Linked DNA regions of Oreochromis niloticus. The protein of the gene in region 2 purifies or fractionates together with the protein of the main gene of each other region. This does not show direct contact. Links are inferred from orthologs where the notes say so. Each region holds a gene or a part of one and is shown on either strand. Other genes may lie near its edges.

Region 1 (7,469 bases), on a different chromosome or scaffold from region 2:
ATTATAACATTAACTATTGATGCACCAGCAAAGCATGTCTGCTTAAAGCCTTGCTGCACCTTCTTGGCCTTTCCTGATCATGGGTGTGGCTATGAAGGAGGAAAGGAAAAAAAGACACTGGAACCTGTCAGTCAAAGTGTCTGACGATTGCAGATTGAGGCTCTAAGCCTGTAGTTAGCTGCAGTAAGTCAAGTTGGATGCCACTCAAACCAAATCACTGTTCACTCATTTGCTTTTCTGATAGTTCTGGAGGGTTTTTTTCAACATACAAAACAAACCCTGCACAAGGACACATCATAGCCAGAAAAAAAGACCCCCAAATGGATATTGAAAAGGCAATCTGATGAACTGATGAACTCACATCTTCTAACATCTATCATTACTAACAGAAACAAAACCACATTTGAGATCACATTACATGTGAGGCCACAGACTGACCGCTAACCACACTGATATATTGTAATTTAATATCAACTGACCATCCATTATATCACAGGTTTTTCTTTTTTTTTTTTTTACATTTTAAGTATGATGAGCATCTTAAGCTTATCATAGTTCAAGGGGAAGGTTCAGCAGTGTTGTAAGGAAGAAAAAGATGCAAGTTAATATGTTTTAATGCCATGATTCATACAATACTGAGACATCTGCGCCACACACTAAGCAAAATTAATAGTGAGGAAGTCAAAGCAGCACAGAGTGAATGAATTATAAAAAGATATACCATCTTTAGTTAAATTGCTGTTTAAATGACGTGTGCTTGGCTTTTAGCACTTGAGTGTTTGCTTCATTTTTAGGTCTGTAGATTGTCATTTGGTACTGACGTATCAATCACAAAGCAGGTCCACCCTAGAGCACCTACCTTATTCCCCTTTCTAAATGAAATGGGGACCATGATTTACAAAATGTTACATTTAGTAGGAAAGTATTTGAGGTCACAGACTAAGGGAGCTGAGGGCAATTCTCTCATAAACTTTTACACAATTACACATCGGTTTTCCTTTACCTGGAAGCTATGCCCATCTATCCCAGGCTTTGAGACTCTATGCCCGGGGAAATTGGTTTGAAAGGCCACAGCTACAGCATAAGTATATTAAATTTGGTAGATTATTGTGTGAACTAACTTAGGTATATAATCACATGTTCTCCTGTATTGGTAGGGAGTTTAATTTTAATTAAATAAGTGTCTGTTTTGTGGATATGGATACCAAATATTAGTCCTGTTTTAAAAACTTTAGACTGTCTGTCTTTGTCCGATGTTCCAGTCAAGAATCTGGACAGTTTGCTGACTATATTTATGATTTCATGACTGCAAACTACTGTCTTTCCTCCTAATTTTTATTACCCAAATTGTAATATAAATTTGGAGACAGTGCTAATGCACCAGCACCAAATCTGCAAACACACTGCAAACCACCCATGATATTATTTTCTCTTAAAGCAACAGGCTCGCTTTACAAACACATTACAAAACTGTAGCTGTCTTCTCAACTCATGTAAGGTCATTTCCTGATATAAAGGGTTTTGTTTGGAACAGCATTCTTCATTACAAAAGACTCTTTATCTTTAAATATGTAAGAATCATCTAAATGATCTTTCTCAGAACGAGTAAAGCATTGTGCAACAGAGATTGTTTTTAATCCCAGACACAATTCTCAACACATATTTCCTAGTTTTTCTTGGCTGTGTGGTTTCATGACTACTTGCTTCATTTCAGGCTGACTTTCATGCTGTGTCTATAAAATAACTGACAATTAAATTTCCCCAAGTGGCTTTTTAAAATTTCATTTTCTTTCTGCCTTTGCACTGATTTATTTCTCATGAGTAAAAGAACAAACAAAAAAGCTATACAAATGTACACACGCACACATAGACACAAAAATTACACACAGGAAGAGGGGGTCTGCAGCATGGCGGACTGTGCTGACACAGAAAAGCTGGACCGAGCCTGCAGCCTCCACATTGACAACGCTACAACTTAACACACTGCACACACACACACACACACACACACACACACACACACACACACACACACACACACACACACACACGCACACATACTCTCTCTCTCTCTCTATATATATATATCATGCACCACAGACCAGAAGGGGATGGAGGAAAATGAGCAAAAAGGAGTGCAAAGCTGATTTTCTACAAAGACAGGCTGAAGACACAAAGAAAAGACAGCAACACAGAGAGGAAAACAGAGCTCAGCATTAAATGGCTGATGTGCTTTGAGGTGAGATATCTGCGGTGGGAGTGCGAGGGCAAGTGAAGAAAAGAGAGGCAGAGTGAGATGAAGAGAGGGAGGAGTGTACACGGTGTGCCGCGTGTCTCCTCTCCAGTCATGACTGAGCAGCAGCCTCACCATGACGGAGCCCCCGTTCCCATGACAACCCCGGCTGTCAGATGGAGGGAAGAGCAGAGGAGGGATGCGGGGAAGGAGAGGAGCGATGGAGGGAGATAGAAACATAAAGATGAACGTGGTTTACTTACGGGGCGTTTGCTGTGCCGTTCCGCTGCAAAGGTGTGTCTGACATGGCTGCAACACCCGCTTCTTGCGCTCCCTTTTCCTCTCTCTCCTTCCTCGTCCTCTTCTCCTACTCCTGTCCTCTAGTGTCCTTTTGACAGAGTTATGTCCTCCTCCTCCTCTCTCGTCCTCCTCACCTCCTCGTCCTCCTCCCTCTTTGCCTCTGTATCTTCTCCACCTCCTCCTCCTCTCCTCTCCTCCTCCTCCTCCTCTTCCTCCTCCTTCTTTCCTTCTGCCTTTTCGGTGTGTGTTCTTTATACGCCAGGATGTGTCAGAGCAGCTGCTGCCGCCGCTCCTGCATCACCCCGCTCTGCTAGCAGGAGGCAACGGGTGCAAGCATGTGCGTGTATGTGTGTGAGTGAGAGAGCGAGAAGGACATATAGACAGAAAGAGCGAGAAAGAGAATTGAGTCAAAAGATATGTTATAGGAGGGAGTGATGAAAGAAAGCAAGGACTGTTGTATAGAGATATAGCCAGGGATAGGGAAGAGAGGGTGGCAAAGAGGCAGCAGAGAGAAAGAGAGAGAAACAATGGCTTTAGGGAGTTAAAGGATAATGAAAGGAGTGGCCAACCTGTTTTCACTAACTACCTCTTGCAAACAACCTTTCCCCTCTGAGGATGACGAGGGTTTTCTTTAAAGAGACAGGTAGGATAGTAAAAGACACTGTTTGGTCAATGTGAAAAAAAATTTCAGAAATGGAAGATATCTGAAGGGATAGGAGTGACAGGACTGAGCTGTGTTATATCACTGATTCAAACACGACAGCTGTTTTTTTTAGGATCATATGGAGTTTAGAGTGAGAGCCTGGGAACACACTGTCTTACGCTGACTGGCCATTTCATTAGTTACACTTAGCTAGTACTGGTTTGCTTTCAGACCTGGCTTAATTCTTCCTGCCGTTGATTTAACAGGGTGATGGAACCATTCGTCAGAGATTTTGGTCCATATTAATGTGACAGCATCACACAGTTGCAGCAGATTTGTACATCCATTATGTGAATCTCCTGTTCCATCACATTCACGGTGCTCTGTTTGATGGAGGTTTGGTGACTGTGGACAGTGAACACATTGTCATGTTCAAGAAATGAATTTGAGATAGTTTGAGCTTTTTGACATGAAATGGATATGGTCAGAAGCAATACTCAACTAGACTGTGCCATTTAAAGGATGCTCAGTTGGTACTAAGGGCCTCAAAGTGTGGCAAGAAAATATCCCCCACACCATCTCACCACTGATATGAGCCAGGATGGGTCCAGGGTGTCATGTTGTTTACACCAAATTCTGATCCTGCCATTTGAGCTTTTTCCAATCTTCTATTGTATACTTTTTGTGAGTCTGTGCAATCCGTACCCTCAGTTTCCTGTTCTGAGCTGACAGGGATGTCACCCAATATGGTCTTCTGCTGCTGTAACCCATCTTCTTCAAGGGTTGACATGCTCTTCTGCAATACTTTGGTTGCTATCAGCCCAAGCAGTCTGACCACACTCCTCTGAAATCTAACATTACTAAGGGATTTTCTTCCCTGCTGCTCACTGGCTATTTTCTCTTCTTTGGCGCATTTTCCATAAACCTTAGCTAGGAATGAAAATCCCAGTAGATCATCAGTTTCTGAAATATTCAGACTAGTCTGGGACCAGCAAACATGCCATGTTCAGAGTCAATTTAAATCACCTTTCTTCAATATTCTGATGCTCATTTTGAACTTCAGCAGGCCGTCATAAACATCTCCACAATCCTAAATGTACAGAGGTGCTGTCATCAGAGTGGTCCATTCATGTTAACAAGGAGCTGTGGTGGAGCTGTAACAGTATGGTGGTGGTTGACTATACAACATGCCTGAGTTTTACAGAGAGAATGCATCCAAAACTAAAACACAACAGAAATTGAAAATGCATCCTTACTCCAGCAGCTCTCGCATCTCTAACAAGAGCCCCTCACACCAGACAAGTATGTGTTAAATTATTTGAGTCATATGTGTTAAAAAAATTAAACCAAAAGTCCACAGAGACACTTGGTTTCAGATTGGATATGAAGCCTGTTTTTCCTCTAACCTCTTCAGCCACATTTGCTCTTACCCAGCAAGACCTGTGATTTGCTGAAATCTCCCCCCACAGGCTATATTTTATTAAGAAAAAAACCTCTGTAAATTACAATATGCTGAAAGGTTAGTTAGAATTTTTTGCCTGGACATGTCATGACTACATTTGGGAGATTGCAGTTAGTTCCTTCAGATTTCAGCTTGAGAAATGACATATCTAATACGTCAAGGAGAACTGCAGCACACTGAAAGATAAATGTCCGTTTTTTTCTCTCTACAGCTCCGAAAATATCTAACAAAACTGTAACGTGTTCTTTAACTTGTCTTTCACGGTAACAGTTTATAAATATACACAGCTGGCAGCAGTTTCACGTTTCTAATTACAGATCTCTCGGATAAGTACCACAAACAAACTGAAAACACAAAGAGGATTGTGTATCAGCTATTGAATTAACACAACATATTGCAGATATTCCCAATATAAAAGTGGTTTGTGGCTTTTTGGATCTCATCAGATATTTTAAACTGACTACTGGTTGCTACTGTAAGTGCAGGGTAGTGAGTGCTGTTTAGTCTATGGGAACTTTTCTCAGAAAGCCGAACAAGGAGCTCAAATGTCTTTTTATGGGCTCTATAACCTGCTGGACGCACACTTAGCAGCAATGAAGGGGGGCCAGGGAAAAGCATAATCTAATCTTTCTGGTTTCTCTTATTTCCTCCTTTTAATATTTGACTAAGTCCATGAGAACGTGCCTCACTCTGACATCTTTCCTTTTTTCCTGCTGTTATTAACCAATCTTTTTTTCCCCACTGACAGGAAGGAGGACATGAAAACGTTTACAATACAATACAAAAGATTACCTCTGAAGTAAAATAAAACAAAAACTCAAATCCCTTAGGGTTAAGGTGCTACTCATCTACCACCGTCATCCATCTGCCTTACTCATCTATCCCAGAATCTCACTAGCTAAGTGGAGCACACTTTTAAACCAATCAATATTCTTCCACTGGCCACTTTATTAGTACACCTCTTTATCTGCCTGCTGATGCAAATATATAATCAGCCAATCACCTGGCAGCAACTCAACAAATTTAGACTCAGAATGTAGACATCATCAAGACGACCTGCTGAAGTTCAACCTGAGCGTCATAACGGGGAAGAAAGGTATTTTTGCACAGCATATGATCTATAGTTGTGTGTGCAACATATACACAGTTGTTTTTGTGTTTCATAATATTCCAGACTGTTGGGAGGGTGGTGCAGATAAAAAAAAAAAAGGACAAATTATAAGACTTAGGAAGTTAAATAAGTCGTAAAGCTATTTTATATGATAGCTCAATATTGCCATAAATGTTCTTGGTCTTGAGTTTTTCGCTGTGCAGGTCATTTACCCGGCTCAAGGACAAAGTGAATATCACATTTCTTAAAGCACTGACATGTTTCACATTCCTGGTTGTCACACTTTTGTCGTCACTTGTATGGTTTCTTCTCAACTCATCTGCTTCCTCACTGCTGCGCCCTCTTTCTCCCTCTGTGTCCCTTCCCATCAGTTTGTGTTGAGTCCATGGTTATCATGTTGCTTGGTATGTCAACTATTTAGAGGCTGCTCTTTAGGTTTAGGTAGTGACCTTAAATGGGCACCACTCTTGCACCCTCCACCCTCTTTTACACACACCAACACTCAATCCCACCCTGGAGGTTGTGTTACTAGCATGTGGTTATTCATGCTGCTGAGCTTAGGCGGTATAATATAATGGTAATATATAGATTTTAACATATGCAGTTAATAAATTATCCCCATGGGATTAGTTCTTCTTAAGTCTTTTTCTAATATAGAAGAAATAGTGATGCTCAAAAGTGACTCATTTATAAACTCATAACTTTGAGGAATTAAAAGTTTTAATATTATAGGTTATTTACTGAACTCAATTTGTTTATGAGCACATTTAAGAAAAAATCAAAGTTGGATCAGTTAAATTCAAAGCACAGAAAACATAAATGGATGTGCATTAACACAACAGCATTGTGCAGAGGATTTCACAGAAGAGAGCCATATTTTCATGACAAGACATGAAAAGGCAACAGAAAACAAAAGGGTTGTCAGATAAAACTTTTGAGCTCTTTATTTCAACTAGTAGTTGTGGAGTTTGCTGAAGGGCTATGATCACCAGCTTTAGGTAAAACAAGGTTTTGTGTGCAGGAGAAGTTTTATATATTTTTTTTTAAAAAAAGGCCCTAGAATGCAGCCTTGTGGTATTCCACAGAAAATAGGTACAGAAGTAAATGAACTTGTATTGAAGATCTGTTTCTAGAGGAGGGAACTCACTAAAGGACAAATTACTGAATTCCAGGAGCATGTGTAGGGCACAGTGACAGACTTTGAGGTCTTAAAAATAAGTCATTGTCACCCTTAGATGAGCAGACTGTGCTCTGAGGTGAAACCTAAAACTTGACTGAAATTTGTGCAGGATGCAGAAGAACTGATCTGCGAGAGAGCAGACTAATTTAGTTTAGTAATACAAATAATTTGTATTAACAAAAAAACAGAATTAATTTCAATGTAATATTTAAAGAAGACGCGGGAGCATGCGTTTATCTGTGAAGTTTAACTGTTAAGGATGTTGAGTTCTGAGATTATCTGGCGCTAATTGTTTAGTAATAAACATTCATATGGAATATGTGTTGCTTCAGGATGACTTTTAAATACAGTCTGAAGCTGCGGTTATTATACCAATACAACTCTATGGATGTGTTTGAAAATAACATTTAAAAAAAATATATATATATTTTTCTCTCCATGCTTTGGCTTATTGTTGACATTTAACAAGAGTATTAGAGTCTACCACATGTGGCTTTTTTCGATTTTCACTCTGCTCCCCTGCAGTTCTGATATTATGAG
Region 2 (7,173 bases):
CCCACATTCATCATTTAACTTCAATAAGCTTAATAAAGGATAAAAAATAAGCCAGTGTCCCAAAACATATGGAGAAAATTATATACAGTATAAATCAAACAATGTTGATACAGATTTACAGATTTAATGGTTTAATTAATGTCTACGAAGAATATTAGGTGATCTAAAACAACATTTTTTTTATAGCTTTAGGGTTGATACAGTTGACATTGCCCTACGGGTTATTTTCTAACTTTCTTACTCATACTGCATACAATATGAAAAATGTATATTGAATTTTAATTTGCAGCATTAAATATGACAAAACATATGAAGTTGTTTTATGTCACAGTTTACTTGAAACAGTAACTTGCATTTTAAAAACAGTCAGACAGTAGCATCATCACTAACCAATAGCCAATAAACAATAAAACTGATGCTATTTACAAACCAATTTATTTATACCGCCATCTGAATATATCAAAATTTTCAAAAGAATTGGCTGTCATTTGCATAAAGTGATAGCTGGTAATACTGAACAAATCAACAATAAAGACATGAAACAAGTGAAATTTCAGTAGCTATGATTGGCATTTTCAAAAGCAGCAACACACACAGAAATAATGTATATATTTCTTTGGCCATAAAGAATTAGATTGAAAATTCTGTTTTTCTAACATGCAAACAAAGTTAGGATTAAATTACAAACAATATATCCTGTGTATCATATTTCTGAAGCTTAGTGGGCAGAAGTGCATGCACACACTAACCTGTGCAGGATTCTCCCACTTTTTGAGGAAGTCCTCTTTGGCTTTAGCAAGGAATTCCTTGACTGTGGAAAAAACACACACCAGTGTTTACATAAGAAAGGCTTTAGTGGGGCATCGGTGTGTATACAGAAGGTGAAAAAACAGCAAACTAAAGAAATAGAACACATACTTTATTGTCTGAAGTCAACAGCACAGAGTCTGACTAAAAATTGTTAATTAAATCAAATTTTATTCATATCCATCGTAAAACCACCTGCTCATAACTATTACTCACAAAGACCCAGAGGCTACATGGATGATTAGCCAATGTGTCGAAAGTTTTGAGACGCACACTGATCATCTTATCTGTTTGTAAGGTAATTCAGGCTGTGTTGGGATTTTTCTAAATGTACAGCAATTAGTCCAGATATGACTGATAGTCTGAAAACTACATGCAGAATATTCTCAAGTGCAGAAAAAAATACCTGAACTTGAAATCTCATCAACAAGTATACTCATTTAAAAGCTCAAATTCCAGGACACATTTCAAAACACTTGTTCACCTATTAAATATCAACACTTTCCATTCTCACCTTAACTAAACAACTCAGCTGCTCAGTGACCAGGATGCATCTATACCAAGTAGCTATGCCATATACTTAGATGTTTTGATTTAAATGTCAAGCAGTCCTTTTGGCATACCGGTTTCTTTGATTTTCTTAAAAAAAGATCCATCACAGTATTCAGATTTACTTCAGTTTGTGACACATACATAACTAAATAAACCTTTACACATCATTTCTAATAAATTGCTATTCCAAAAATGATAAGTTTAAAAAAAACCCACACACAACAGAATAACCTCAGACATGAGCACATTCATCCTTCTGTATTTGGACTTACAGTACAGCAGACAATCAGACTAGCTCAGTGTCAATCTGCAAATCTTAAGGGGGTCCACCAAACAAAATAGCCCCCACACTTTCAGCAGCATCTCTTTCCAGAGAGCAACAGGCACTGTGTGTTTGGGAAATATCTGACACATAGCTTGTTGTGATCTCGCCAAGATTTGAGTACAAGAGGATGTGAAGTTGCCAAGATTCTTGCAGCTTACAATAGCTGTTGGTTGTTTTGCACCTCGTGAAGTGATTTGGCTATGGAAACTGTACTACCACCTGCTTTATCATACAGCAGCATCAACTGAATCCACAGAAAAAGCTCTGTTCAAAACGGACCACTACTACTGAGCACCTATTCATCTATCTCTATATTATGAGGTTAGTTAGTTGAAATGTAGCTGCGTAATTTGGGCTCTTGAAAGCTATCCTGGCAGAGGCTTATTTAAGGACTGAGCAGTATGAGTGGATCTTTTTAAATCAGACAGCAGAAATAGGCCGCTGCATGGAATGTTAACTGAAGCTAACATAGCCGCTGTGTCACACCGTCTCTGGTGATTTCGTGAGGCTGGAACAGAGCAATGTGTTATGTGTAGCGTACAGGCGATGGTACCCACCGCTTTCCATCTCGCTGCCCTTCCTGGCCGTGGGCGCGTTGCCCATGATGACAACCTGTCAACGGGAGATCCGTGGCTTTTTGGCCGCCCTGCAGCCTTCTCAAGCCGGTCTAATCTCGATTAGGTCTGATCGGTATTTTCTAAATCCAAAAGCACCAAGCGTTAACTCCGAGGTCTTGGTCTTTAATAGCCTGGCAGATGCTGATGCGGTGCCAGGGCGAGACGAGATGGTAAAGCGGGCTCACTCACTCAGTCATCAGCAACGGGCGACCGATATATAGCTCAAATCCACGGGGAGGATACCTTTGAGGTATCTCGGTCGTTGGGGCTTCACTGGACCGTAAGGCCGAGCTCGGCGCAGATGGCCTGAACACGGAGGATCCAGTCTTCGCCTGTCCCTCCTTGCAGCCCCCGCCGAACGAGCCCCCCCGGCTCCCCACCTCTCCCCAGCCTAAAGAAAAACGACACCAGAGGCGGGGACGCGATATTCTCAGCCCAAGAGCCGCCACTTTTCGTTACTAAACCCAGCTTTTAAAAATTAAACCTCGGCGGGGTCCGACGACGACGGGAATTCACCCAAATCAACATTGGCCCCCCGTAGCCTCGGAGACGAGCGAGATGACGGAACTACAGTCGACTGAACGTCCCGCCCACTAGCCAGAACCGGGTTTTGATTGACAGCTGCAACCAACCCGCGGATTGGCAACCTATGTATGCCGGTATCCCACGGAAGGCACTGATTGGCTCTTCGCAATCCATCAAGAGCGGCACCATCCTACCGCCCTACACAAAGCGAGTGAGAGGAACGTCACCGATTATTTTCCTCCCGACGACATACCCGCCCACTTTTCCTGGTTTCCGTCCTCCATTGGCTCGATGCAGGCGAACCGTGGGAATCTCGGCGAATGTGAAGTTGTCTATTGGCTGTGAGTAACGATTGGCAGGTAGAAAAAAAACCCCTCTTCAGCCCCCCACTCCCACCGCCGCCAAGCGACTGATACACGTTTGGCCAAGTGACGTCAACCGCGAGCTATTTTTAGAAATGTTGGTCAGAATTTAACGCACGCGCGGCGCGGTCGGGCTGGCAGGACTTCTAAACATTTCGCAGACCGCCGTGCGTTAAATGATGAGTGTATTTAGTGAGAATAATAGGAAACAAGACGGTCGTTCTAAACACTCGAAGAGATACCGTCTTTCTGAATGTTTTACAGTCAACCCTCCAACTGCCTCCTTCAACACAGCACAACCACCCCAGCACCTGGATCACCTGCAGGCTTAGCCTAGCATATGACCGAGAGTCCTTTTATTACCAGGACCTTCAAAAGGCTCGGTTTCACATGGATTTGCATCTGAATATCTAATTTCAATGACAATTTCACCTTGTGATGGTAATTTAAAAAAAAGAAAAAAAACTCATGGTATGAAAAAACATCCATTCTATGAATACGAGATCTCTCAGCTGCTGCAGGGTTTGACACCATCATTTGGGCTCACACGACACCACCACGGTTATGTAAAACGGACTCAAACAACCAAATCACTAATTCTGCTTATACATGGTTGTAACTTACATATCACAGTCTCACCACAAAAGACATGATGATGAGAACAATGATGTCAAATGCTTCACAAGTTAATGGCAGACATTTATAAAAAAAAAAAATTAAATAAAATTTAAGATTTAAATCTACATGACCCCTAAAACCTACGAATCATTTGAGCGCTGCTACAGGCTGCTGTTAAAGGACAATTGAAGCTGCATATGGGTTTTACCGCTAAATATGAATATATGAAAATACACTGGTCAAATGTGCAGACATGTAAGAAGTGGACAGAGGTAACAGATGGATGGATGGGGGAGTTGGTCCCTTCAACTAAGATAAAATGGGCAAGAGAACACAGACAGGCCCCCCTTTCCTTTTGTGCAGTAGTTGCCTAGCAACATGAGGCTAGAGTGAAAATGGTGGTGCTGCATTTTATGAATGAAATCGGAAAACAGAAAGGAGCCAGAGATGGGAGGGCGAGGAGCAAGCCAACGTGCTGAGTCTCTCTGCTGTTGCAGTGCTTCCTTCCACACAAGTCAAGGTGGAAAGCAGCCGTATGTAACATGTTCTGATTAACAGGAAACACGACAAGGTCAAAAAAAAAAAAAAAAAAACTTTATTAACCCCATCACTGTTGTTACAAATACTGAAGCTGAGAATGTATAGTAAGTACAAAATGAAAACATGCCTTCTTGTTTTGAAGACAAAATAAGAACAGGGAAAACATTATTTACAGCAAGCCTAAATCATCCACACACACACACACACACACACAATGCAATTTGGCATCCTTCATCATTACCTACATGTTTTGCTCATATAGTCGTTTTATGTAACAGTAGGTGAACTGGGGCCTATTCACAGAAGCAGGTTTACAGAGTAATCTGGATAACCCTGGGGAAAAACATGTTAATGCGAATAAAGCCACTTGATGCCACAATATCATAAACACGGCCCATAATTTAAACCCAATTCCCTCCCCCCAGTAGGTGTCACAAGAGACAAATCTTACAAAGAATGAAGTGCTCTACTATAAGCAGCTAGGTGCTACATCCTTCCCATCACATAGCACTAGTTGATCTGTGCAGAAAAGGACAAAATGAACAACATGGGTATCAGAATCTTGAGTTTGTCCCACACGTTTCAGGGCTGTTGAAGCGACCTGGCCCTGCACTGATGATCTGCACTTCTTTCAGCCAGGCATGAAATATAATCTTATACAGAAATACAATAAATTAAGGCAAATCTGACTGTGCACACCTGTGTGTGTGTGTGTTGAAAGGAAGTGCGTAAAGAGGAGGAACCAAAGGTGGTAACAATTCCAGACCAATCCCATTTTTGAGTGCTTTATAAAAAGATAATGTCTATGCTGTGGTGTCCTGTGCTTTCTGTTAAAGTCCACATGTTATACAGAAACATCCATGGCCTCCTTGTATAAATGTGTGTTTGCAATGTGGGCGTGTATAGATAAGAAGGGCTCCTTATCCATTGCATTAATTTGATGCCTCTTACATGCAGTCCATGGAGTTATCTGGCATCACTCCTAGATGTGGCATCTTTCCTGGTATACAGGATGGAGGGAACATGCCACTGATGTTGGGGGACGGGTCAACATTCTCACTGTCTTCCATCTTGTCTGCCAAGCCCTCCCAGTTGATATGAAAACGGGTGACACGAGGATTCGAGGCCAAAATATTCCTCTGGAGCTGCAATGATGAGAACTTGTTAGAAATAGGGGTGGACTGCTAATGTTTTTACATCAGGACATAATTAGATTACTAATTAGGGAGCTCAATAGTTAGTTATGACAGCCATCCTTAGGAGTGCACATTTCCCCTCAGAACATGGGATAGCTTTGAATTAAATACAATGAATAGTTGGTTTTATGTTGGATTTGTAGAAGGAAAAGACCAGTGTAAAGAGAATAAAGCACAAGGTAATGATTTTAATGCTAATGTAGATACTGGTACAAGGAAGCATGAAATACACTTTTTTCCACCGGAACTAGTGCATTCTTTTAAAACAATGCAAGACCAAATAAAACAAAAACACAGTGCTAAATAATCCCCAGTTAATTCTACTTTTATTTCGTACAGGATGCTACAGTCATCTGTAATTGTACATTTCCGGGCACAAGAGGGCAGCAGAGAGCCATTTATAGTACTTTTCCACAAATATGGCCCATATTCTACACTTAATACCATCTAATGCTGATGTAATGTGGTCATATCTGAATAAAATAAAATAAATTAGCACCATGGGTACACTTCAGTGATTAATTACAGTAAATGCAGACAGCTGGAAACAGCTTCCCTCAGTATTATTCATGATGGTCATTGGTGTACTTGTGTATGTTACCTGAGAGTAATCTGGTTTGAGAGGTGGGTTTTCTCGTAGTTCAGGGTCCGTGTATTCATTGTTGACATAATAGCCGATGCGGATGAACTCCTGTCCACGGTAGGTGCAGGTTATAAGGACTACGGTCACTCCTACAGCATCGCTTTCTGGAATCAGCCCTGTGTTAGGAGCGTCAGCCTGATAGGGTAAATGAGCACAGAGAAGAAATCAGATCAATTCTAAGTAATTATCCTATAAATGAAACAGTAACTGGTTAACCAAACCAGGGATATCAAATACATTATATATGATATTGTGCAAAAGGAGTATGTGAAAATCACTTTTATAACAATTTTGAAGACATGGAACACTCAAAGTGCTTTATAGAGGTTAAAAAAGGCAAAATGGATACACATGAACTGAGCAAAAACACAAACATAACCCAAATGCCCGTCTGAACAGATGCATTTTAAGCTGCCGTTTAAAGGATGCCACTGACTGGAAGGTGCAAAGAATGAGTGGGAAGCTGTTCCAAAGTTTTGGAGCTAAGGTTTGGAAGCCACAGTCTACCCTTAGTTTTCAAAAGGATATATGAAATTACATGAATGCTTCTGAGGACCTACGAACTCGGCCTGGAGAATAGGGGTGGAGCACTTTGATAATGGAGATGAAAAACCAAAATTTTAAAACTGTACTCTAACCTGACAGAAAACCAGTGCAAAAATGTTAGAAGTGGACTGACATATGAAGCCTTTTGAGAGTGAGTTAAGAGTCTCACAGGTGCATTTTGGACAGACTGAAGGGAATTAATAGATGCTTGAGTCAGAACAGAAAACTCCATTCAATAATCCAAACAAGAGGAGAAGGAGGCTTGGACAAGAACCTCCAATTCACTTCTTGACAAAACAAGCTAAGGTGCTTGTCCATGGCTTCCTTTCCTCTCAAAAGCCGTCATACATCAGATGAAAAATCTGACAGTACTTTTCTGCACTTAAAGTTCACACCACTTCCTGAAATTTCTCATCGTTACGTGCCATTTTTCTTTTACGCT

What was found.
Region 1: the proteins of prkacab (region 2) and palm2akap2 purify together in Homo sapiens (affinity purification with mass spectrometry; 5 studies listed by BioGRID and IntAct, with this or other methods). This does not show direct contact. The link is inferred for Oreochromis niloticus from reciprocal best matches to the Homo sapiens genes PRKACA and PALM2AKAP2.

What each region holds. Positions count from the first base shown.
Region 1 is NC_031972.2:26,864,450-26,871,918, forward strand, and holds the start of palm2akap2 (palm2 and akap2 fusion), read right to left. Parts: upstream 3,038-7,469; 5' UTR 2,541-3,037; coding exon 2,497-2,540; intron 1-2,496. UniProt on the Homo sapiens protein: Binds to regulatory subunit (RII) of protein kinase A. May be involved in establishing polarity in signaling systems or in integrating PKA-RII isoforms with downstream effectors to capture, amplify and focus diffuse, trans-cellular signals carried by cAMP.
Region 2 is NC_031971.2:31,066,284-31,073,456, forward strand, and holds the start of prkacab (cAMP-dependent protein kinase catalytic subunit alpha), read right to left. Parts: upstream 3,043-7,173; 5' UTR 2,288-3,042; coding exon 2,242-2,287; intron 812-2,241; coding exon 750-811; intron 1-749. Other genes in the region: asf1bb (histone chaperone asf1b-B), read right to left, coding at 5,294-5,491, 6,144-6,320.